Drosophila melanogaster: one gene and its partners. The protein of the gene in region 3 interacts with the protein of the main gene of each other region in a pairwise test. Each region holds a gene or a part of one and is shown on either strand. Other genes may lie near its edges. The genes, in order: CG2852, TwdlF, CG8219 and CG13784.

Evidence for each region.
Region 1: the proteins of CG8219 (region 3) and CG2852 interact in a two-hybrid assay, tested with the Drosophila melanogaster proteins (one large-scale study listed by BioGRID).
Region 2: the proteins of CG8219 (region 3) and TwdlF interact in a two-hybrid assay, tested with the Drosophila melanogaster proteins (one large-scale study listed by BioGRID).
Region 4: the proteins of CG8219 (region 3) and CG13784 interact in a two-hybrid assay, tested with the Drosophila melanogaster proteins (one large-scale study listed by BioGRID).

Annotation. Positions count from the first base shown.
Region 1 is NT_033778.4:22,643,063-22,648,705, forward strand, and holds CG2852 (uncharacterized protein), read right to left. Parts: upstream 3,283-5,643; 5' UTR 3,210-3,282; coding exon 3,120-3,209; intron 2,984-3,119; coding exon 2,859-2,983; intron 2,473-2,858; coding exon 2,070-2,472; 3' UTR 1,584-2,069; downstream 1-1,583. Other genes in the region: Ugt317A1 (UDP-glycosyltransferase family 317 member A1), read right to left, coding at 1-224, 281-368, 430-591, 743-745; CG30195 (uncharacterized protein), read right to left, coding at 3,631-3,913, 3,969-4,147; CG34446 (uncharacterized protein), read right to left, coding at 4,516-4,701; CG34445 (uncharacterized protein), read right to left, coding at 4,927-5,071, 5,132-5,391.
Region 2 is NT_033777.3:4,244,294-4,249,780, forward strand, and holds TwdlF (TweedleF), read left to right. Parts: upstream 1-2,726; 5' UTR 2,727-2,767; coding exon 2,768-2,791; intron 2,792-2,850; coding exon 2,851-3,891; 3' UTR 3,892-4,020; downstream 4,021-5,487. Other genes in the region: TwdlG (TweedleG), read right to left, coding at 4,558-4,724, 4,898-5,487.
Region 3 is NT_037436.4:6,197,094-6,204,276, forward strand, and holds CG8219 (uncharacterized protein), read left to right. Parts: upstream 1-3,379; 5' UTR 3,380-3,446; coding exon 3,447-3,545; intron 3,546-3,638; coding exon 3,639-4,229; intron 4,230-4,282; coding exon 4,283-5,350; intron 5,351-5,407; coding exon 5,408-5,578; intron 5,579-5,632; coding exon 5,633-5,804; intron 5,805-5,865; coding exon 5,866-5,961; intron 5,962-6,016; coding exon 6,017-6,092; intron 6,093-6,157; coding exon 6,158-6,332; intron 6,333-6,393; coding exon 6,394-6,507; 3' UTR 6,508-6,683; downstream 6,684-7,183. Other genes in the region: Tnpo (transportin), read left to right, coding at 1-19, 290-464, 521-628; LanA (laminin A), read right to left, coding at 7,082-7,183.
Region 4 is NT_033779.5:7,216,013-7,222,448, reverse strand, and holds the start of CG13784 (uncharacterized protein), read left to right. Parts: upstream 1-2,415; 5' UTR 2,416-2,589; exon of another isoform or gene 2,590-3,318; 5' UTR 3,319-3,337; coding exon 3,338-3,540; intron 3,541-3,595; coding exon of another isoform or gene 3,596-3,596; exon of another isoform or gene 3,597-3,798; intron 3,799-6,436. Other genes in the region: mEFG1 (mitochondrial translation elongation factor G 1), read left to right, coding at 1-1,308, 1,362-1,707, 1,772-1,916.

The DNA of each region.
Region 1 (5,643 bases), on a different chromosome or scaffold from region 3:
GAGAGCTCCCAGTGCCAACAAAGCCTCTGTGTAGAAGTAGTCCACAAGGATCACATCGAAATCGAACTCAAGATATGACATCTTCAGCAGCTTTTGGATGGGCTCTTGGGCGAGGAAGTGGTCCAAAGCACGCGCTCCAACGCTGGCCAATGACTGGCGGAGTTTTTCAATTGGCAGGAGTCCAAGATCAGCAAGGTTTCCCTTGGGTGCCGCCTGTTTTTGCACTGTATGTGGATATTGCTATACTTCGTGAACAATCTTCTCCAGACGGCCTACTCACATTCGCTCCAAAAAGGAAATTCCGCTGTCACCGTTTCGGTAACGTTATCCAGAGATTCTCCCAAACCATGACCGGTATATACTTCAATCTAATTCAAACAACATTCTTTTCATTTCTTAAACGTTTTAAACGACAGCACTGCCACTTACTGTGTGCTCGCGATTGGCCAACTCGGTGACCAGAGTCCGCATCACCGCAAAGTGACCCTCGTTGACATGGGGAAACAGTACCAGGATCTTGGCTGCCTGTGAAATCTGGCCCAGAGCTAGTCCCAAAATAGCCAGCAAGATCCAACGATTCCATTGAGATTCCTATATGGTTTAACATACACACAACTAATTAGGTCATTTCCGAAAGTACACATCATCGAATTAAAGACAATCTCTTCTTATCTGTCTTCCAGTAGCTTCGAAACTATTTGGATGACACTTTTTCTAGAACTTCTTGCATCCGTTTACCAACCATATTCCCTATTATCAACGATCAGCTTGGGATTATACTTAAGTTCCGGCCGTAATGCAATTGCATTCGCCGGTAAACTCTTCCGGTTGTATTGAGTTTACGAATGAGACTGAACTTATCGCTCCCAGCGCCTTGACTCCCCACAAAAACAAAACACTCAACTGATTGCTCTCGGGAATATAATCTTAGAAGTACGTCCAGAATTTCTGTGGTCACTGGAACATGTGTGGCACATGAGATTGCCACCAGACCCCAATACACATGCGTTTCATATAGATCCTATTGCTTTCATTAATGTATACACAGCGATTGTGGGGTCTGTGAAAGGGGTACAATTGCACATATGTACGTCTTCATATATATGTACATATACGATTCCCCACATTTGAACGATATGAGATCGTCTCTTCAGTTCTTGGTTTCTCTCGCTCTAAACAAAAGATTGGGGGACGTGAAGTCTAAGGATTGGCAGACATATGCATTTCTAGACAATGTTGTTGCATTTGAGTGCATTCGCTAATTGTAAAAGTTGCCAATTCATCAGCGTCTGAGATCTGAAAAATTATGCTATATATAATTAGTTACTAGAGGGCTGGTTTCGGGCTTTCACCTCTATATACATGGGATAGTATAGTATGGTATGTATATAGTAATCAATATTTAGTCCAAGGGTTGTGAAAGGAAACTTTCTATAAAGAACAGGATACTTGATCGAAAGATGAGCCAGTGGCACTTATTTAAGTATCAATCGACCCGATTAACTTCTGCAGAGACAGTCATGCACCTGTTCATTCAATCATATACAATTAGTTCCCAGCAGGCCCAAACAAACTGAATAAATATACAAATGAACTCGTCTGTGTGTTCTTTAATTTGTCGCAAGTGTGCAAATCAGAAAAATGTGACGAACCGAGCGTTGTTTATCAACAACAAAGAGAAAAAACAGACAGAACATGGGCAATCTAAATCGAGAACGGCACAACATACAAAGGCAAACAAATTGGCGAAGAAGGCACAAACCGGTTGCCACTAAGGGAAGTCAGAGCCAAAAGAAAGCGATGGAACCAAAACCGGTTCATTGAACCTGCACACCACCGGCATCATGGTATAGACACACAGAACGATTCCAGCTCTTTATCACACAAAAAATCATTCTTTATTTATGCCATTTCTGTTTTTAGTTGAGCACAATTACTTGCTTACGGAACGAAATGTAAATAAACATGGCGAGCTATGGTAAATGCAAATGTCTGGAAAAATCGATTATGCGTTTATGCTTAGTTCAAATCGGTTATGTTGCTGATGGATGACATGCTCCCCAAACACTTTAGTCGGTGGCATCGGCCTTGGCCACGGAGAAGGCCTCCGAAACGGGCAGGGTGCCGCTGTTGGCGATGACCACATCCTTGACGGGACGGTCGCGGGCATCAGTGGCCGAGTTCTCGATCTGGCGCACCACATTCATGCCCGACAGGATCTTGCCGAAGACGACGTGGCGTCCATCCAGCCAGCTGGTCTGCTTGGTGGTGATGAAGAACTGCGATCCGTTGGTGTCCTTGCCAGCGTTGGCCATGCTCAGCCAGCCGGCGCCATAGTGCTTCAGCTTGAAGTTCTCATCCTCGAAGCGCTCGCCGTAGATGGAGCGACCGCCGGTGCCGTCGCCCTTGGTGAAGTCACCGCCCTGGATCATGAAGTCCTTGATGATGCGGTGGAACTTGCTGCCCTTGTAGCTGCGGGGTATAAGAGCGTTGCATGATGGTCAGTTTTGTCAGCATGGGAATTTAAATTTAAAAAAAAACTGGGTTTAGAACTCGAAACCTAACCAAAAAAGAACATGCATACTTATAAATTCAGAGAAGAAAAAAGAAATACCCAAGAACTGCACTTTTATAGTATGGTAGACTTAATAACAGTTGGCGTTCTTTGTTAACCCATTAGTGCCGCTTTGTCAACTGATGTATGCGATTGGCCGCTCAAACGCCACGTAATTGCTTCAATCTGAGAGCCCCGCTATAACCTACAAAGTGCCGCTGATTAGCGGCATCTTTTGCTGGCCTAGCGGTACCTGGCACCCTACTATGTTGGGGTATTTTCGGTACTCAAGTACCCTACTCACCCCTCGCCCTGCGGCTTCAGCGCCAGCTCCTTGAAGTTCTCCACCGTCTTGGGCACCGTCTTGCCGAACAGACCGATCTCGATGCGACCAGCGGGCTCGCCGCCAATGGTGATGTCAAAGAAAACCTACGCAATCGGAAGCGGTTTATTATTAACAAGTCATCTCACTTGATTTATGGCGCAGCAAATGTGTGTGTGTGTTTGTGTGTGTATGTACGTGGTGTATGCAGAATGTAAGGACGAAAGTCCAAGGAGCACGCACCTTCTCGGTCACTTTGGGACCCTTGCTATCGTCGGCAACAACGACGCCGGCCACCAGGGCTACCACGAAAACGGATAAGAACAGCTTCATCGTTCTAAATATTCACAGCGCTTCAGTTTATTCCTCAAGCGACGTCGCCAATGGATATTTCACGACTGAATTTTCGGTTTCTGTTAGTGATGTAAGAAAACTTTGTTGCATCGCCAATCGATGTTTTCCATCGTTTTTTATGTTTTTGTCGAAATATCGATGCTTAAGTGTGACCATTCGATGACGATGTCTGATGATCACACATTCGGGCGGAAAATTCAAATTCAAATAGTTAATACGCCGAAAGCATAAGTTAAGGTTTTCGTACGAAGGAACAAAGTAAGTTCGAAGAGTTGACTTTATTGGTATAGTTTTTAATATTTTAGGGATTAGAAGTCCAGTTTGCATTAGCACGTAGCATTCTCTCTTGTTTTATTGACGGTTCTGTACACAAAAAGTAAGTAAAAAAATATGCTTTTATTTATTGGTGTACTGCTATTTGCGTCTGAGATTTGTCCATATCCTTGGCTGCCTTCTCTGCTCTCTTCTTCTCCCTGCTGGCCAGAACTTTCTCCCTGGATTTCTGGGCCCTTTCAGCGCAATCCTTGGGTCGTGTCTTCAGGGTCATATCATCCACGGCCGCCTGTTTACGGGCTGATCTCGAAATGCATCGTTCCATGCAGCTGATGGGCACAAATCTTCCAATGAAGCAACCGCAGTGTGAACAATAGTGATTGATGTCCTGGCGGCCAGACCATTTTTTACTGAAATAAAGTGAACATTACGAAAGATTTATAAAGCTTCATGCAGATGGCCAACCAAAGTTTTGTGAATCCCAGAAATCTCTGCAGGCAAGTGACCAACTCCAGTTGCACCAAACTGGTTCCAGACTTCTCACACGAAGGACAACGGATCCAGGTGGGCTCCTCCTTCAGGTATCCCACTTGTGGCTTGTGGCTGACAATGATGGCCACAATCTGCGGTTCGTCCACGGTCATGATGCGAGTTCCAGCGAGAACGATCGGTGACTGAAAGATGGATCAAATTTGGAGAGATCATGGGAGGGAAAATCAAAATCAGAATCACTCTCCCGATTTCTCTTAACCGAGGCGTTGGTCTGGTAATTAAGTTAGTGCATGGAAATCAAATGAGTTATTCTCTCTGCGTTACAAATGCCATTGGATGTACAGTGTAAAAAGTATAGTGTACATTTTGAGCATTACACATTAAATAGTAAACTTTTATTCGTTTCAAACAGCAGTATATTTATTATTATTATTGAATATAAATTAAATGACAAAACTGATCTACATTTGTTCATTGTGTTATAATAATTCGGATCCGATGATCCTTCTTCAGTGGGTATCTAAAGTTGTGGACGGCGGTATACGCCCAGGTACTCCCCGCAGGCACCGCAGTGATGCCTCTTGGTGCAGCAACGCAGCCAGGAACGCACCACACGGGTCTTGGCCTTGGTCCTGCAATAAGGACACGTAATGTCGTTGGGGCCGGGGCCCACGGCAAAGTAAAGTGGTTTCGGATCCTGAGCCATTTCGCACCGAAAGATGTTGACTGCTTTAAAAACAAACGCAGACTGAGGCTAGCGAAGAGAAATTGTAGGAATAAAATGTTCAAATGATATGCAAAGAGAAAAAAATCGGCCCAAAAAAGAGAAAATGTGATATTTTTGGCTTTATTTTTGTTTCGATGGTATTGCAGTAGTGGGTGGGAAATTGAGTGTTTAGAAGAATTTTAATAAATATGTGAACAATGCTGCCTAGGCGGTGGTTGCCTTCAATTTGAGTGGTTGCCTCCTCTTCATGGAACGTCCAAAGTAACAGCCGCAATTGCCGCAGTAATGACTTCGATCGGTTTGTTTGCACGGCACATAGTAATTAAAGCAGCAGCAGCAGCAGAAGGTCCTGTAAAAGTATTTTATAAGTTTACGTTTCCAAGAAATAGGAGAAAGTAAGGCAACCTACACAAAAAGACATCCCACAATGCGGTTTAGTTCACTGGCCCACCACTTCAGATCATTTTGCACCACACTCAGATCCTTGATTCCGCAGGCGGGGCACTCGATCTCCACGGGCTCGCGTGGCAGGTTGAGAAAAGTGCCTGCCAGGGGCGTGGCAAAGTTCTCGTAGATCTTGCGCTCCTTTCGGTCCTCCAGAGCCTTGGCCTCCCGCTCCCTGATCTCCTGCTGCGTTTCCGCTTCCTTCTCCGGCAGCGTTGTCGTCATGATCGCTCAACAATCGAACTGAAAGCGAAACGCTGCCAAGCACGCTGGCAACCTGTTTCCAAACTCAAAAGAGAACGTGAGTGCACAGAGAGAAATAATATGGAATTTTTGGCCAATATATTCCCCCGGTTTTCCGCCCAAAAATATGCAGTTTTTTTGATCGAAAAAGTAAAAATAATGAGCCAAATATGGAATGGGTTACATCGTTGAATTCATAATACAATTTTCTATCGACTGGTGTTGAAGCCTTAG
Region 2 (5,487 bases), on a different chromosome or scaffold from region 3:
GCTTTTTGTTATAATTTATAATGTTACTTCTTCCTTATTTGCTCTATAATATGCAATGAAAATGGGCTGAATTATCAAATAGGCCTACGTCTCCCTAATTTCAATAGATTTGCATATTCTCCATCTTACAAATGATTGCTTGCATCAGAAAAGCCACTGGAACAGTAACGTATAAAAGCGTCGACCAAATGTAATCTTCGGCAAAGGAAACCCATCTGCCGAACTGCCCGCACAAAAAATGTATTTAGCCACCCACAAGTAGATACAAGTATTCACGATGCGCATCTTTCTAGTAAGAACACAAAGCATTTATTCCGCACTTTGTGTAACCATCAAACAATTTCAGATTCTAAGCCTCTTTCCTATGGCGCGAGGGAAGTACGACTACACTCCAGTATCGTATGCCGGTAATGGTCACGGAGGACTGATTGGCGCGCCCAGCTTTCTAAGGCTATAGCACCCGCCAGCGAGTTCACCAAGGAGTTCTTCACCTACAGTGCTCCAGAGCACGAATTTGATGACCACCCCAACGAGCAGATCGCTCACTTGATAAAGAAGAACGTGCTTGTGTTGTTTATCAAGGATCCCGATAACAAGGGACTGGAGCAGGCGGCGCTCCAGCTGGCCACCTCCGCGTCCGCCGACCGCATCGCCATTTACGTGCTCAACAAGCAGGAGAACATTGGCAAGTGGATCACCAACCTGAATACTATCCGTAACAACAACAAAAACCGCAAGCCCGAGGTTCACTTTGTGAAGTATTGAACGCAGAGCGACGCGAAGAACGCCCAGCGCACTATCCAAGCCCAGTATGACTTGCTACCGGGAGTTTCAACCAACTACAACGGTGGAGCCTCGGTCTCCGTCTTGGACTTTGCGTCTAAGGTCATTTCAAGTGGAACTGACGACGGGAATGCGTTCGTTCGCAAGGTAAACGCACCGTCGACAAGCCCGTACTTGCCACCTTCTCATGAAAAGTATTAGTTTAAACGCAAAATAATCAGTATAAGATATAACCGAAGACATTAGTGCCTTTGGTATAACACTATGTTTCAATGTCGTGTTACCGGGAAAGGAGATTAGCCGTGACTATATGCAATCATTACGGACGTAGTCCACGTAGTGAAAAAGAATGTGCCACGGGGACCACAATATGTATAGGAATCAATGATAATCTGTTTTTTCTATAATAATAATTTGTGCTAAACAACTTTATTTAAAAAACATAACGGCATTTTTAATTCTATGCATGCTTAGATAACGTTTTTTGTACCGACAAAACTGTACAGGCCATAAAATTCCCCTTACTTATGGTATTTAATAGTCGTAAAAACAAAAAACAAAAAAGAATGCTGTAGTCGAGTTCCCCGACTATCAGATACCCGTTACTCAGATCAATTCACCACTTTTCTGGTATTTCGATAGATATTGGAGAATAAACTGAGGAAAAATTTAATAAATTTAACAAGGCAAAAAGCTGCGTCTATGTACATGATCTCAACTCTCTAGCCTCTATAGTTCCTGAGATCTCGACGTTCATATGGCCGAGTCGATCTGGCCATGTCTGTCTGTTCTATAAAAGCTGGATGGATTAGATCAAACACCCACAAATCGCCAAAAGCTGCCACACTGTTCAAAATTGTAAATAACATATTTTTAATTTTTTCCTGCCAATTTCGATGGGTTTTTGGCATGTTGTTTTGCCTCCACTTTAACGCTAACAAACCGCCCAAAAAATGTTGCGATTACTCGTTCGCACTCCCTCTAGCTGAGTAACGGGCAATTTATTTCATTTCGTCAAATGAAAACTTGATTTTTGGAATGTTTTCGATTGAAACTTAAAAACATCGACTCGCCTAATTAACGCTCAACTGCCGACCAAAATTCGCTTTACCACACTTTATAAGAATATTTATATTACTCGTAGAGTTAAAGGGTATACTAGATTCGTTGAAAATTATGTAACAGGCAGATCCAACCATATAAAGTATATATATTCTCGATGAGGATCAATAGCCGAGTCGATCTGGCCATGAACGTCTGTCCGTTATTTCCATTACCGTTATTGCCCATTATTTCCAATTACCGTTGTGCAAGTAGAAAACAATTGAACTAGCAAGTAAAAGCATTACCCATAACAATAGTATTGTTAGCATGATTCCAGGTTGGATTCAAGCCATGAAGTGCTATATTTCTGAAGAACTGAGCATATTTTCACAAATATCTTTGAGCTTATTGGTTTTTCTGCATTTTTGAAAAGACTTGTTTAATAACAAATTCATTTATACAACATCTGCGACAAAGCGAATTTTATATGCAGATAGATCGCTTCCCACAATTTTGGTCATGAATGTGTATAAATTGGGTTTCCGTCCATAAAACTTACTTTCTTCATATTATCCCAGTTTTGTCAATCGAACCGCTTTACCTATTAATATTTTGCATATAAATATATTCAGCGTTGACAATGGGGATCTCAAGCGATTATTTAAATTTGAACGCAGCGTTGGTCGCCAAGTTAGATAAGATCCCGGACTGTTCAAGCAGTGCATCTGCGCACACGGATCTGTGATTTGGCAACCGCCAATGTGAAACGTTACATATTCGAAGTTGTGAAGTCTATAATAGATTCATACGATTTATGGTAGTGCCTAATAATTTTTTCATTTATTGGGAAAACGATGCCAGCCTGGACAGATATAAAAACATAGCAATGGGAAGGCAGGGCATCATTCGACCCTAGCAGCTCAGACAGTTCAAAGTGAAAATGAAGCAGTTCGTTGTTCTAATGGTAAGCAACTGGCACATGAGCGATCCCCGCAACAACTAACACTTAATGTGCTCTTGCAGTGCCTGGTGGCCCTCACAGCAACAGCTCCTCAGGGATACAAGTACCAACCTCAGCTGCCAGCCCTTCCCATTGGCAATCTTCGTCCTCTGACACCCATTTCGTCAAGTGGAATATACGCAAGTGGCGCCGTCCCATCTTTCCCACAGGCCGGTGCTCAGCCCGCGATCGGTGTCCAGCCAGCCATTCAAGCCGTGCAGACCATCGTTGCCGCTCCTGCTCCCGCCCCCGCTCCCGCTCCTTTGTCGATCTCACTCCCAAAGGAGACTTTCCTTACTGCTTCGCCCCAGCAAAACCTGATCAGCACTGTGCAGCAGCAGCCTCAGCAAATCGTGTACCAGCAGCAACCGCAGCAAGCCCTTCAGACCCAGTTCGTCCAGCGCCCCGCTATCGTTACCAAGGACATTTACATCCACTCCGCCCCCGAGGAGAATGAGGAACTGCGGCAGGACGAGCCACTTCTGGAGAATGTGCCCATCCGCAAGAACTACCGGATCGTCTTCATTAAAGCGCCTTCCCAGAATCTGAAATATACCGCCGCGGCCCTGAAGCGGGCCCAGTCAAGCAACGAGGAAAAGACCGTCATCTACGTGCTCTCTAAAAAGCCCGATCTCACTGAGATCCAGCAGCAGCTGCAGGTTACCCAGTCTGAGGCCAAGGTTCAAAAGCCGGAGGTCTACTTCATTAAGTACAAGACCCAGGAAGAGGCCCAGCGCGCCCAGCAGGAAATCCAGGCCCAGTACGACGCCTTGGGAGGTGCAACCCACATTTCGGACGAGGGAGTGGCTCCCATCGCCAGCGTTTCGAGTGGCTCCCTTAACCTGGGCAGCTTTGTGCCCCAGCACTCCCAAGCTGGCCAAACCATCATCCACTCTCAGGCGCCAACCATTATCCAGCCACAGGGTCAGCCCATTGTTCAGCTGCAGTCTATTAACCAGGGGGTCCAGGGGGTCCAGCAGCAGAGCTCCTTTGTGCAGAAGTCCACCTCCTCATTCGCTCCCTCGGCGCCATCAAGGAAGTATGTGCCGGCAAAGACTTTTTAAAAAGTTGTAGTAAGAATCCTATCGCTTTCATTGTTTTATATCAACCATCATACTGTAGTAAATTTTAATTTATTTTTAATGCAAAAGTCGAAAGTCGAAAGAAATATAAAAAAATTTAAATCGAAACCCAAAAAGCCTTCTGTTTCTAGTACTCGTTTTTAAGTTTAATCCTTTTAATATTTTAGATAGGTTTTGTTTTAGGATTTGGAATTAATCTTTCATTTAAGGCATAGCTTGAGTTTAATGTTTCTTATGAAAACGCTGTTTATTTTTATCACAAAAATGTTTCAATGGGCTAAGAGACTATGACAATGACTTCTTTCTCGCAAGAAAGTTTGGACCATCTCTTTTGGCATTAAGCCAACAGCCATAATAATCAAGTTTTCGTGTGGCTTAATCGTTGTTATGTAAGTCAAATCACATGCTAATTTATGCGACCGGTTTTCGGCTTGGATGGCTGTCATTGGACTAATGGATGTGGTAACATGGTCCATAGAAAACTATTTTGTTACTTTGAAGTATTGAAACTCGATTTCATATTTGAATATGGCTGCAGAGTCGCTTTCTATCATAAGGCGGAGCTCAAAATATGAACTTTATTTAACTAAATGTGTAAATTACAAGAGTTCAAGTCTTAAAATTACGACAGTGGCCTTGGAGTTGTACCTAAGCACGCAGATTAGTTGGCAAGTAGCTGTTTGGCAAGGAGCCAGAAAACTGTCCGGATGAAATTCCGTTGTTGCGCTGGTTGTCCAGTACGCCAATCACGGATGTAACGGGTGCAACTCCCTCGTCAGAAACCTGTGATGTTCCGCCAAGCTGGTCATATTGAGCTAAAAGAAGTAAATCGGTTAAAAATCGGGTAATAAAAATTTGGACAAGCCAGATTAATTGGTCGATAGACATTTCTATGAAGCTTGCAAATCGAAACATTTGAGGTCTGTTGCATACTGATGAGGTCTTCAAGTGTGTCTCATAGCATCTGCTCGATGCGGGTGTTGCTCACCTTGAATGGTACGTTGCGCATGCGCAGCTTCCTCCTGGGTCTTGTATTTGATGAAAAATACCTCTGGCTTGCTGGGCTGCTTCGGCGCGATTTCCTCGATGGCAGTCTGGAGATCTAGTGGGTCCGGCTTCTTGGTCAGCACATAGATGATGGTCTTCTCCTCCACAGGAGCCTGTTTGATGCGCAACGCCGCCTTCGAGACACTGGTCGTCGGTGCCTTGATGAAAACTATGCGATAATGCTTGCGCGGAGGCGCGGGCGGAAGGACGGGCTGAGGGTAGCGGTCCTCGGGCTCTTCTGCTGGTGGCACATGGACGTAGATGTCCTTGGAGACGAGGTGCTGCTGCTGAGGCTGATGTGCCTGGGGCAGCGCATTGTACGCCGAATTTGGGCCGAACTGCGTCGCCTGCTGTTGGTAAGCGGAGGCCTGGTTTTGATTTGAGTAAGATGCGAGCCCTTCTCCTCCGGTCAGGACCTGCTGCAACTTTGGAGCCTGGAGTGCCTGCTGAAGGATCGTCTGCTCCGCAAGGGTGGCAAACTGCGGAATAGAAGGCAGATGGAGTTGACCAGCTTGCGCCGACGATTGAAGC
Region 3 (7,183 bases):
CCGAATTTGTACGACAGTGGTGTGTAACACGTTTTATATTTAAAATGCTTATTCTTTCCTTCTATTCTCTTATCTATCCTTCCCGTTCTTCCCATTACTCTTAAATTACGCTTGAACACTGAAACCTATAAGCACATCGATCTATTCCTTTGTTCCACAACTCACTAACAATCCACATCATTTAACTGGAATTTAAATTTGCTTTTGAACTTTCGTGTTTGCCAAAGCCTGCTAATTTAGTTTACTTTTCCTGAAAACGACATTTAAACATTTTCTTTGAAAAATGCAGGTGCACATCGTTGCGGCACATACGAGACAATGATGAGAAGGACTCAGCCTTCCGTGGAATGTGTCATATGATCACGGTGAATCCAGCTGGCGTGGTAGCAGACTTTATATTCTTCTGCGATGCCATCGCTTCCTGGGTTAACCCACCAGAGGATCTGCATCAGATGATACAGAAGGTTTGTACCCTACAGGTAGTAACTATTTTCTTTATTTCACACATGTTTCTTTCAAGATTCTGCACGGTTTTAAGACCCAAGTGGGCGAGGAGAACTGGCGTCGATTTGTGGAGCAATTCCCGCCAACCTTGGCCGAGCGCCTGACCACAATGTATAACATCTAAGGCTAGCCATGCCATAAAACACCCACCTTCACCCATTAGCGAGCCAAGCAGCAACTTTTTAACTAGACAATTATGTACAAGTATGCGTAATAAGCGTGTCGTCTTTATCTTTAGCCTCCTTAAGTTATTCGATGCAGTTCGAATGTTAAGTTAACATTGAAAATCTAAGCTTATAGAAATCGAAAAAAACAGCAAATCCACATAAAAGAAACTACATAACTAGATTTAAATCCACAAACATATATCGAAAAATCGAATAGAGAAGAATCGTATATATTTGAATTCAAGCTAGAGGATCTTTGATCTGTAGAACCTCTTTAGGCACACGACTGTCCGCTTACAGCATATAAAATGCCTTTCTTGTGCAGAAAACTTAGTAGGAACCACTAGAAAATTATGTGTTCCGGCCGTACTTAACCGGAGTCAGTGCTATAGCAGATATGCCCCATTCTCCAATACACTCTGCCCCAAAACCCAAACCGAAAATAGAGTTGAATATGTTAAACACACGGGTGTTTCTCATATAGTAATAGAAAAGCTAAATGAAAAATCGTCGAAACTAAATGATATTGCGGGTCCTCGTCGCGGTAATTAAAAACTAAATAACTAAATAAAATCTTTAAAGGATGAAAGTGTTGGGTCTCCTGTGAAATCCTAAGATCAGAAATGGAAAAATGGATTCAATGGCAGGTGCACACAAAATTGTTACAAATCAAACAAAGACTGATGTTCAACTCCGTTCAAAAACCATAGAAAGCATTCATCAACAGCGGATTCCAATTTCCCAGAAGTATCCAACACTTTCGTCATTTATATAACAAACAAAAAATGGAATCGAAAAAAATCGTCGCGTTTCGGGTTCTAACGGTTTCGCGTTCGCGTATTTTCGTCGCTCGTTCGTAATCGTAATCGTCGTTCGTGGTATCTCGTCGGGTAAAACAAAAGAAAAAGGAAAAAAGGATATAATACAAGGATAACGATAATATTGCAACTGTTACTGATACAAATTTACTGATACACTTAATGATATTCATATGCTATACAAAATTAGGTGTTTTTTTACGCATTGTGAAAGCGAAAAGCAAGCAAATAGGGAAACATTGTAAAATTGAGATTAGGATTTTGTTGAATATCTTATTTATTTTCCATTAACTGAATACAAAAGCAACCATTGACTGATCACTTTTTAAAGTATTATTATATAATTTTTTTTTGTATAGGGACAAGTGTAATTAATGAACTATTATTATTTTCTTCGAACTTTTATATCATTTGTATAGACTCGTGTTTTGCGTAACCTCTATAATTTACGATCTTTGTACAGAACAAATTTTTTACAATTATATGATTAGGTGTAAAGTGTACTACTAAATGAAAACAAAAGTCTTTGAAATTGTCGCGGAACAACTAAAACATACGAAAAATAAAACTAGGGAAAACCAAACTCAGTCAAATACAAAATAAATGGATGATTATGAAGCGTAAGAAGAGTAAGTAAATCTAAGTAATAGTATTACGTAATTATGCAAACCGTGTTTACGTTTGTGTTTTTATTTCGTTTCGAAAATGGGGGAACGTGTGATAATAAAGTAACTTCGGGTCGTTCGTTCGCGTCGCGTTAAACTCAATCAATTTAAAAACTAACAATAAGGGACTTTCGCCCCCGAGTCCCAAATAATAATCGCAATACTTGATAACTTGATAATAATACGGTCTAACTAAAGCGGAAGCATAGCAATTGCTAAAACTGAAACTAAACTAAAATGAAAAATCGTGATTTCGTTGTACCTTAATCCGGATTCATCGCGGAATCCGGTCGCGTTCGCGTGCGTTTGTATCTCTCTCGGGTGATCTTAGTGATTAGCGTTTAAGCAGAAAAAAAAAATGAAAACAAAAAAACTGAATCAACACTACTACAACTACACATAAACATACAACATTAAACATGTACACACCACACATATACAGCAATATGAAATATATTTATAGATTTTATGCAGAGTAGGTTTTTGTTTAAAATATTATTTTTCATTACGATAGGGCAAACCAAAAAAAAAAGTAGGGAACATCAAATAAACTAAATGTTAGGTCAAGCTAGGGCAAGAAACAAATTAAAACAGCAAATCAAAAGTTATTTGTGCAGCATTAGAGAATTTTTTTCTTATTTCTTTCAATATTATCGTGTGTATGCTATTAAATCGATGAAGAGAACATACCAACTGTTTTTAGTACTTTACACAATTATGATATTTAACTTCCGTTGTTTTTTTTAAGTAAATCAAGACCAAGCCTAGTAAATATTGTTTTACCATCTATATCTTCATAAACAGCACGTAAAACTTTTCGTTCATCGAACATTCAACTCTGATAGGTTTATATCTCTAATCGTTTAAGCTTACAACCACTGTCTAGGCTAAATCAAATGTTCTGCAAATGTCTAACGAAATTGAATATATATACGGGCCTATATGCATAAATAACATACGCATATATATGAAATACATGCATGTATGTATAATCCCTACATCAAACTATATGGATTACAGATTATTCTTCTGGAGTTTATATATTTGTTTGGCTAAAAACTCCATTTCAAAATTCAACTATCAAGATTTGTGTAAATTGAAAAGTATATATATGAATAAATATGTATGTATAACAAACATTACCCATCAAGATAATGGATTTTCTGATTTGTATGGGATATGAGTAGGCCGAGAACAGAGTGTCATTCTCTGTCACTTCGGTAGCCCCCTTTGGCAGACCTTACCCCACATTTATCATACAAAACCCGGCTAACTTTTGCATCAGCAGCAAAATGGCATGGACACCACGGGATGAAGGTCTGCAGCAGCTCCTACCGATACTCAAGGACTCACAGTCTCCCGGTAAAGCCACGCAGCTAGCCGTGCAAGAGGTAAGTACCGAAGACCCAACTGATTTAGCAATCCTCATCGGGTGCTTCCCGGACTTCAACAACTATCTCGTCTATGTGCTCACGAATCTGAAGACGGAAAACGAGGCAACGCGCTCCATGAGCGGCCTAATCCTCAAGAACAACATTCGCATGCACGACATCACTCTGCAGCCGGAACACCTGGAGTATATCAAACACCAGTGCCTGCAGGCAGTGGGCGACTCTTCACCCGAGATCCGTGGCACCGTGGGCATTCTGATTACCACCATTGCCAGCAATATCGGTCTGCACAACTGGCCGCAGCTGCTTCCATCTCTCTGCGAAATGCTCGACAACCAGGACTACAATGTGTGCGAAGGAGCATTCAGTGCTCTGCAGAAAATTTGCGAGGACTCTGCCGGAATTTTGGAAAATATGCCATTAAATACAATGATTCCAAAGTTCCTGGAGTACTTTAAGCACAGCAGTCCAAAGATCCGCTCCCACGCCATTGCCTGCATCAACCAGTTCATCATCAACAGATCACAGGCCCTGATGCTAAACATAGACAGCCTCATTCAGAACCTCTTAGACGTGCCCTCGGATAATGACCCAGCGGTTCGCATGAACGTCTGCCACGCATTGGTTGGTCTGGTGGGGGTGCGCATAGACCTTATGATGCCGCACATGTCGCAGATTATTGAGGTATGAAGTTAAGGTTTAGTTTTAAATTTTAACGTAATGAAAAATCTCTGTAGCTCATTTTGTTGCGCTCCCAGGACGCCGATGAGAACGTGGCTCTGCAGGCCACCGAATTTTGGCTTTCATTGGGAAAGCAGAGAAACTGCAGGGATATACTTTCTCCCATTCTATCCCAGTTAGTCCCAGTTCTTGTAAGCCGAACGCAATACACGGAGACGGACATTATTCTTCTGAAGGGCGATGTAGGTGAAGATGACAAGGAGCCTGATAGACAGCAGGATATCAGTCCACGTTTCCACATGTCCCGCGTACACGGTATAAGTAATGAATTGGATGAAAACTCGGACGACGATATGTGGGATTCGGCATTGAACTTGCGCAAGTGCAGCGCTTGTGCTCTCGACATTATTTCGAAAATTTTCGGCGATGTCTGTCTGCCCCTTATGCTGCCCATCCTAAAGGAGGCGCTATTCCACCAGGAATGGGTGATCAAAGAAAGTGGTGTGATGGCCTTGGGAGCTATTGCGGAGGGCTGCATGCAGGGCTTGATCCCACACTTACCAGAGCTGATTCCCTACCTAATTACCTGTCTGTCTGACAAGAAGCCACTCGTACGCTCCATTACATGCTGGACGTTCATGCGATTCCCCAAATGGGTGCTCAACCAGCCGCACGACAAGTACTTGGAGCCTCTAATCGAGGAACTGCTGAAGTGCATCCTGGACTCCAATAAGCGCGTTCAGGAAGCTGCGTGCTCTGCCTTTGTCGCTCTGGAGGAGGAGGCCTGCACGCAACTGGTGCCCTACCTGGAGAATATGCTAAAGACGTTCGTCTTAGCCTTCTCCAAGTACCACCAAAGGAATCTACTGATAATGTACGATGTCGTTGGTCTTTTAGCGGAGTCCGTCGGTCATCATCTGAATAAACCGCAATATATTGACATCCTAATGCCTCCGCTAATGGATAAGTGGAACCTGGTAAAGGACGACGACAAAGATATAATCTATTTGTTGGAGTGCCTATCGAGCATCGCCACTGCGTTGCAGTCCTCCTTTCTGCCCTACTGCGACTCGGTGTATCGAAAGGGCATCTCCATTATTGAGGAGACTATCAACCAGGACATGGTAAGCAACTGTGTTAGCTTCAATGTAAATCTATCAATGAACTCGACTCCTTTCAAGATGTGTAAACAAAGCCAATCAACCGATTATCCTGACAAGGAGCGCATGGTTATCGCCCTGGATCTGGTGTCTGGCTTGATCGAGGGGCTGCAGAGCCTCATAGAGCCACTGGTGGCCAACAGCAAACTTTTGCAGCTGCTCTGCCAATGCATGGGCGACGTTATGCCCGAAGTAAGTTTTACCTAATTAATATACTCGTGTATATGGGATTAAAATACATATTAGGTTCGCCAATCATCGTTTGCCCTGCTGGGTGATTTGAGCGGGGCTTGTTTTTCCCAGGTATACCCCTACACGGCCCACTTTATTTTGATCTTGGTGCAAAACCTAAACCCCAGCGTTGTTGGTGTGTGCAACAATGCAGTTTGGGCCATAGGGCAAATCTGCGTTAAGTTGGGTAAGTTGGCTTGGTTCTCTTATAATGTAACAAAAAAGATTTTTTGTATTTCGCCCCTAAGGTGAGGAAACCAAGCCGTACGTACGCCTTCTGCTTAGCGAACTAATGATCCTGATGAACCGGCAGGACATTCCAAAAAATCTTTCGAGGAATGCGGGTAAGTAATTTGGCCTGATTTAAAGTAATTTATTATTATTATTCTTTTTTTTAAGCAATAACACTTGGGCGCCTCGGAAATGCATGTCCAGATGAAGTGGCTCCCTATTTGCCCGAATTCCTACGCCAGTGGTATGTACACATTAAATGCTTCATTTGCTCATTTTTTAAATTATCCTTTCTTCCACGAAATGAAGGTGCTTGTTATTGCGTTACGCATATGACCACGACGAGAAGTATTTGTCTTTTATGGGAATGTGCCATATGATCAGGGAGAATCCAGGAGGCGTGGTGCCCGACTTCTTATTCTTTTGCGATGCCATTGCCTCGTGGGACAATCCTCCACAGGATCTGCGTCAGATGATTCGAAGAGTAAGTTATTTCCGGAAATTATTAATTTTCGTCTTTCAACAATACTCGTTTGTTATTCTAGATTATCGAAGGCTTTAAGAACCAAACGGGTGCGGAGAATTGGCTAATTTTTTTGGGGAAATTTCCACAACCACTGGCCTGCCGGCTAATCGAACTGTACGACATCGAATACTAATCCGAAGCTATCCAGCCAATTATGTATTGCTTCAATCATCATTCTAATTTTACTAAGTAACCAAAGCCCCAAAAAAAGTCAGCTATTGAGTAATATACGATTTTATATAATCATTTATAATATGAATAATTCAACAAAACCTGAAATATTTTTGTAAATAAAGTCTCAATAATTGTAAAAATGTATGTTACACCATTTAAAACTTATGACATAAAAAAACAAAAGTTTTAGTTTCATTAAAATGTTTATTTTATTGGTTTATTGGAATTACAAAAATGCAAGATTCTCTTAAGGAGTTTTAAAAAGGATATATAAATGTAAATGGCTTTAATAGAATTGGCACGCAGTTTGGCTTATAGTACTAGGAATATATACGACTGGCATCTTTGCTAAGGATCTATTACTTTGAAGACCTTATGACTTTTTTATGACCCGTCGATTTTGTTCGTTTGAAATTTGATCGTTCGTTGTCCTTTGATTAGCAGTTGTCGGCAAAAGAAGATTCTTCCTGGCAGTTTTTCGTAGTCGTTGTCCAAATAAATCATAGGTCCTTAAGTCGTTCCGAAGTTCTTTATTAGTTGAGGGGACAATAGCCCTGCCAAATATCGCCAACGACCATGTTCGGCGTGATGTTGATCATCCTTTGGTTAACCTCCACCTTGCTGATGCAGCCCTT
Region 4 (6,436 bases), on a different chromosome or scaffold from region 3:
TCCAGAGTCAGACCCTGACGGTTAACCGGCAGATGAAGCGCTACAATGTGCCCTGCCTGGCTTTCATCAACAAACTGGATCGCTTGGGGTCGAACCCGTACAGAGTTCTATCCCAGATGAGGTCAAAAATGAACCACAACGCTGCTTTCATTCAGCTGCCCATTGGAGTGGAGAGCAATTGCAAGGGCATCGTGGATTTGGTGCGGGAAAAAGCCATATACTTTGAGGGCGAGCACGGAATGGACATCAGGCTGGACGAAATTCCACAGGATATGCGGGTAGAGAGCCTGGAGAGAAGACAGGAGCTTATCGAACACTTGTCAAATGCAGACGAAACGCTTGGAGAACTTTTCCTGGAAGAGAAGCCCTTTACAGAAGACGATATTAAGGCGGCCTTAAGGAGAACCTGCATCAATAGAACCTTCACACCTGTCTTGGTGGGCACAGCACTGAAGAACAAAGGTGTCCAGCCATTGCTAGATGCAGTACTTGACTACCTGCCCAATCCTGGAGAGGTAGAGAACCTGGGCTTCATCGAGAAGGAAGGACAAGACCCAGAAAAAGTAGTCTTAAATCCCGCCCGCGATGGCAAGGATCCCTTTGTTGGCTTGGCGTTCAAGCTGGAAGCTGGTCGCTTTGGCCAACTAACCTACCTCAGATGCTACCAAGGTGTCCTACGGAAGGGTGACAACATCTTCAATGCCCGCACCAACAAGAAAGTGAGAATTGCTCGCTTGGTTCGATTGCACTCAAATCAAATGGAGGATGTAAACGAGGTGTATGCCGGCGATATATTTGCGCTTTTCGGAGTTGATTGCGCCTCCGGAGACACTTTCACCACCAATCCCAAGAACAATCTGTCTATGGAATCCATCTTTGTACCCGAGCCCGTGGTCTCAATGGCCATTAAGCCAAATAATACCAAGGATAGGGATAATTTCTCGAAGGCTATTGCGAGATTCACCAAAGAGGATCCCACATTCCACTTCTTTTTCGACAACGATGTAAAGGAAACTCTTGTCTCGGGAATGGGTGAACTGCATTTGGAGATCTATGCCCAGAGAATGGAGAGGGAATACGGTTGCCCAGTGACGCTGGGAAAGCCAAAAGTAGCATTTAGGGAAACCCTGGTGGGACCGTGTGAGTTTGATTACCTGCACAAGAAACAATCGGGAGGATCGGGTCAATATGCCAGGATTATTGGAGTCATGGAACCACTACCGCCGAACCAAAACACCCTGCTGGAATTCGTGGACGAAACAGTGGGCACCAATGTACCAAAACAATTTGTTCCTGGAGTCGAAAAGGGTAACTAAAATTACATTCCTCAATGTTCTGATTTTAATATTTTATTTGCTTAGGTTACAGAGAAATGGCTGAGAAGGGAATGCTCTCCGGTCACAAGTTGTCCGGCATTCGATTCCGCCTGCAAGATGGTGGTCACCACATCGTGGACTCCAGCGAGCTCGCCTTCATGTTGGCTGCCCATGGTGCCATCAAAGAGGTCTTCCAGAACGGCAGCTGGCAAATCCTAGAGCCCATTATGCTGGTCGAGGTCACTGCACCCGAGGAATTCCAGGGTGCTGTAATGGGTCACTTGAGCAAACGGCATGGTATCATCACCGGAACTGAGGGAACCGAGGGTTGGTTCACTGTCTACGCGGAGGTACCGCTGAACGACATGTTTGGCTATGCGGGAGAGCTGAGGTAATCTTCAGTACACATTGGAAACGTTGAATTGTATCTAAATATATCTCATCTTTATTTACAGATCGAGTACCCAGGGAAAGGGTGAATTCACCATGGAGTACTCCAGGTACTCGCCTTGTCTCCCAGATGTCCAGGATCAGATCGTCCGGCAATACCAGGAGTCGCAAGGATTGGCCCAACCCGACAAGAAGAAAAAGAAGAACTAGGTTTTAACTTAATCTATTTTTAATTACCATCTCTATCAAATCGAAATGTTATTGTGTCACCCCTATTTTTGCTTAGTTAAATTTTATTTCATACAACAATTTTCAGTTTTCACTGTGATAAATGCGAAGTGTACAGTTATTTGTATAATAAAACAAGATTCAACAAAAATCGGTATACTTAATTAATCACAGCTTGTTGATATCAGTTGAATTTTTCGTCTTATTTTTCTTTGAAAATGAAATATATATATAAATTAATACAAATAACTCATTTATATTTGAAACGCTTTTGTTGGAGGCGCACATACTATTTTGTACCTATATAACACTAGGTACGGAAATAGGTACCGATTGGTACTCCGCGGTACTTAGTCATCTTACCGTTAAACAGGTCGAAAACGAGTATAACAAAAATATCGAATAATAATGTCAGATGCGTTAGGGAATGTGAGTTTCAGGATTTCGCTGACTGGTAACACTAGCCACAAAACTTGTGTACGTTTGTTTGTGTTGTTGTTTTCGCTTGCGTGCGGTTGATCCGCGGACAGTTTTTCCGCAAACTCGCAGAGGAAATGCAAACTGTGGCGAGGTGAAAGGAAAACTGACCACCGAAAGTGCGAAGAAGAACGAAAATTGAAACAACAGCAAGCGACAGCAATTAGCGAATGAATAAGTACGATTTTCCGGAACAATAATAATAGCAACAACAGCAACAACAACAACGGCTGCAGCCACAACAAAAATTTAACTCAATTAACGGAAAAGGCAAACGGGGGAAAATGCAATTGAAATGCCGAGAGCATTTATGAAGTGTGCTGATGTGTTTGCGTAGAAATGGAGCGATTTGTGATTGCAGCGCTTTGCTCGTCTAGTGTTTTCCGCTGCCAGAAAAGTGTGCGCAGGAAAATCGGTGACGATTCGTGAAAAAAGGGGCATAGAAAATTCGGTGAAAATTCAATACAAAAAAAACGCGGAAAACGAAAACACAGGAAAAATTAAAAGAGCGACAAAGAGTGAGAGCGTGCGAGAGCAATAGGGAAATAGAAAATAAATATCTTCGCTGCCTGCGTGTGGGTGTGCGTCAGTGTGTGTGTGTGTGTGTGCAAAAGTAGAAGATCAAAGCGAAACGACGAAAAACAAGCACAGCAACAACAACACACAGCTGACTTCCTTTCTTTCCTTCCTGCATTACACTGTTCAACAAACAATAGTTATAACCGCAAACGATGCGAAATCCAGTAACTACAACAACGACTACTTCCAATCGCCGGCTTTTAAACTAGTCAAAAAATCAAATCAATAACATAAACTACACATATCCGCTAAACGACAAAACCTAAAACGAAAAATAAATTTCAAAACACAAAGTAAACGAATAAACTAAATATAACCAAATTTCCAGTAAACAGAGATAGCTCACAATGGATTGGATCATCAATGATGAGATGGGCCTGACGGTCGGTCACGTGGTGGGCTGGGCCGCCGCCTCCGCAATGGTTATTGGGGGCGTGATCCCCTACGTGCCCCAATACATTGAGATCAAGAAGACGCAGGACGCGGAGGGATTCTCTCTGTACGTGTGCCTGGCGCTGCTGGTGGCCAACTCGCTGAGAATACTCTTCTGGTAAGACTTAACTTGTACGCTAATCAAAAATAACTAAATTTGTAATCGAAAATAGATACTGGAATACTAGATACATAATAGATACCTAGGAAACTAAAACATTACTAGCATCCGTACGAAACTAATTAAATTCATTACCTAATGCTCCATAATGTTAACAAAAGTGCTTAAATGTGAAAGCTCAAAATTTTGCAAGTAATTATGACGATTTCATATCCAAATATGCCATTTTTGAGCAATAAATCAATCATGAAAGGCAAAACGAACTTTTATTGCACGCGCTTATTTTTCTTTTTGACTGTACAGCACTCGAAAATAACACAAATCACTTTTGAACGCTGCGTATTCAAATGAAAATAAACACCTGCAAATTCTCTCTCGTTTTTTTTCTTTTGATTTGGGTTGAGAATACAATTGAAATACATCATAATTCTTTAAAAAAAAAATCTCTAGAAAATTACTGATATGGCACTTCCTTGTCTTTAAAATCTACCTAAAAACTTACTTTAGAAACATGCTATTATATCTACATATATATACAGAAAGATCTCTTTCGCAGTAGTTTCGAATCCTCTGGCACCCCTGCGGTGAAAACGTCAGGTACCTGAACCTCTCTAAGTAAACCCCTGTCCACTTTTATCTCACCCACATTGGGATGACTAAACCCACTCGGCAAATACCTGGTATGGTATTACGGCTTATCTGGGTGGGCAATTCAAACCGCTTATCACGCGAAATTCTCTCATGGTCCGACGCGACAATTTACGGTTTGGAGCACTTGAGACCAAAACCCCTTCCTATCTGTTAGCTATGTCATGATTTCTGGTCGATTTTGCTCACCATAGTCGATAGACGACTTCCACAATTTGGACGAAGGACCAGCGTACTGGTTTTATCTTTATTGTACTCCCAGCGGTATTTAGGTATTCGGCACAATGCACAATGTCGTCGATAATCGCTATTTTCGCTGGGGTTTAGGACACTTGATGGAAGATTTATCAGCTTTCATGCTGAACTAATGTTTTGTGGGATGTTTGATAAGATTGTTACACTCAACTCAATACAAGCGCAACTATAGTTTATAAGAAGTCAAAAAAAACTATTTCGTAATATACGAAATTCAGTCGTTTTTGGGAATATTTAGGTGACTTAAAAATGTTGACAGTCTGAACTTTCGTTTCTGGAATGGTTTCATCCAGCTGCCCTGGATTGTTGATTCATCTTTTTGCAGAGCGAAACATATAAATCAAAATTAATAAAGTAAATTTTTAATTCAATTTGAATGAGTGTGCAAAGTAGCTTTCAAAATGTGACAATGCCATTGAAACCAGTTGAAACTGACACAGAGCCAACAAACAAAAAGATATAATTGAATTTGCGCTATTGTTTATTCAGAACGTATTTTCATATTTAGTTCAAAATATATATTTGCCATATGGAATAAACGGAATAAACGGATTTTTAGGCCAGCTACTTCTCGACTGGCCTTTAACAACAGGGTCAACTACTTTTGTCCAGCTGGTTTCTGTGTATTTTTCAGGTTGTTTAGCCCGTTTAAAGCTGCTGCTATTGTGGTTTTTCGAGACCCATCGCTTCCTACTAATAATTTATTAACAAGCCAAGTGAAACGTGAACGCAAAAACAAAAAAAGAATAGGAGCAACTGGTGGCCCTCATCGACGCCGTCAATTTGTCTGGCCTGGGTGGCAATCAATAAATAAATTATTTAGCTGGAAACTGTTGCCGGCGAGCAAAGTTGAATCAGCTGGGCAACGAGGCTTTGAGCCGAATAATCCCAATACAATATGTATACGTTATATATAGATGTTTACGATTCCTTGTGGCCAGACATTTTTTTTCCAGACACGCGATCAGTTTCAGTTGGGTTTTATGAATAAAGTCAGTCAGTCTGGAGGCTAAGTAATAGTGCAATAGGAATGTTTTGGGGGCTACAACAATGATAGGAAGTAGCTTTTAATTTATGCACGACTTTTTGCTTTCCGTACGCCGTAATTATTATTATTCCGACTGAATAAACCCCCGCAAAAAAAAAAAAAATTTAGTTGAGTGCAACTGGCAATTTGTGTACAACAAAATGCACGAAACACTTCAACTATTAAAAGTTATTTCGTGAATTTACCATAAATTGCACGCAATTACAATTAATTAGTTCACGTGATGGAAATATATTTCACATATGTGATATTCAGAGAAAAAAAAACACTCCCAACAAAGGGAGGCAGATTATGGATAGGAACAAGAAGGAATGACACATCCCGTTGACTTTATTGTAAAAATTGACAACGTGGCTGCCTTTGTTGTTGATCGTAAATATGCATATTAAACACGGAATTAATCATAAAACTCACACCGTGGCACGACTAAAAGTAAATATAATAATTGGAAAAATTTTCTGTGCTTTTTGCATGAGCTCATTGCTTGAAATCATCGCTGAATAATTATTGTAAAATCAAGATTAGAATTGTGGTTTAGATAATGCGAATAGAGTTTACACTTGAGATAAGATATTTGGAATTTTTTTTTCAGCTTTTGGTGTAGGAAGTAAAGTAAAGTTGTTTTTATCTTATCTGTAAAAAAAAAAGTGCAGTCCATTACATACTTCATATACTAAATAAAAATTCTTTGTTTGGCTATATTTTATGAAGTAGTTATTCATTCAACTTTCAGTTAATAAAATATTTTGCGATGTGGGCGTTTTTTCCAGTTTACTAACGAAGCAGATTGCGTATATATATATATAGAATATATACATATTTAACTAACTAAAGTTTGCTCTATGGCAAAAGTCAACAAAGCGGCGGAGTTCGATTTCGTAAAAAGGTTTTCTCGCGCAAAAAAAAAAAACGCTACCATTATGACTGAATAAGTTGGTCAGG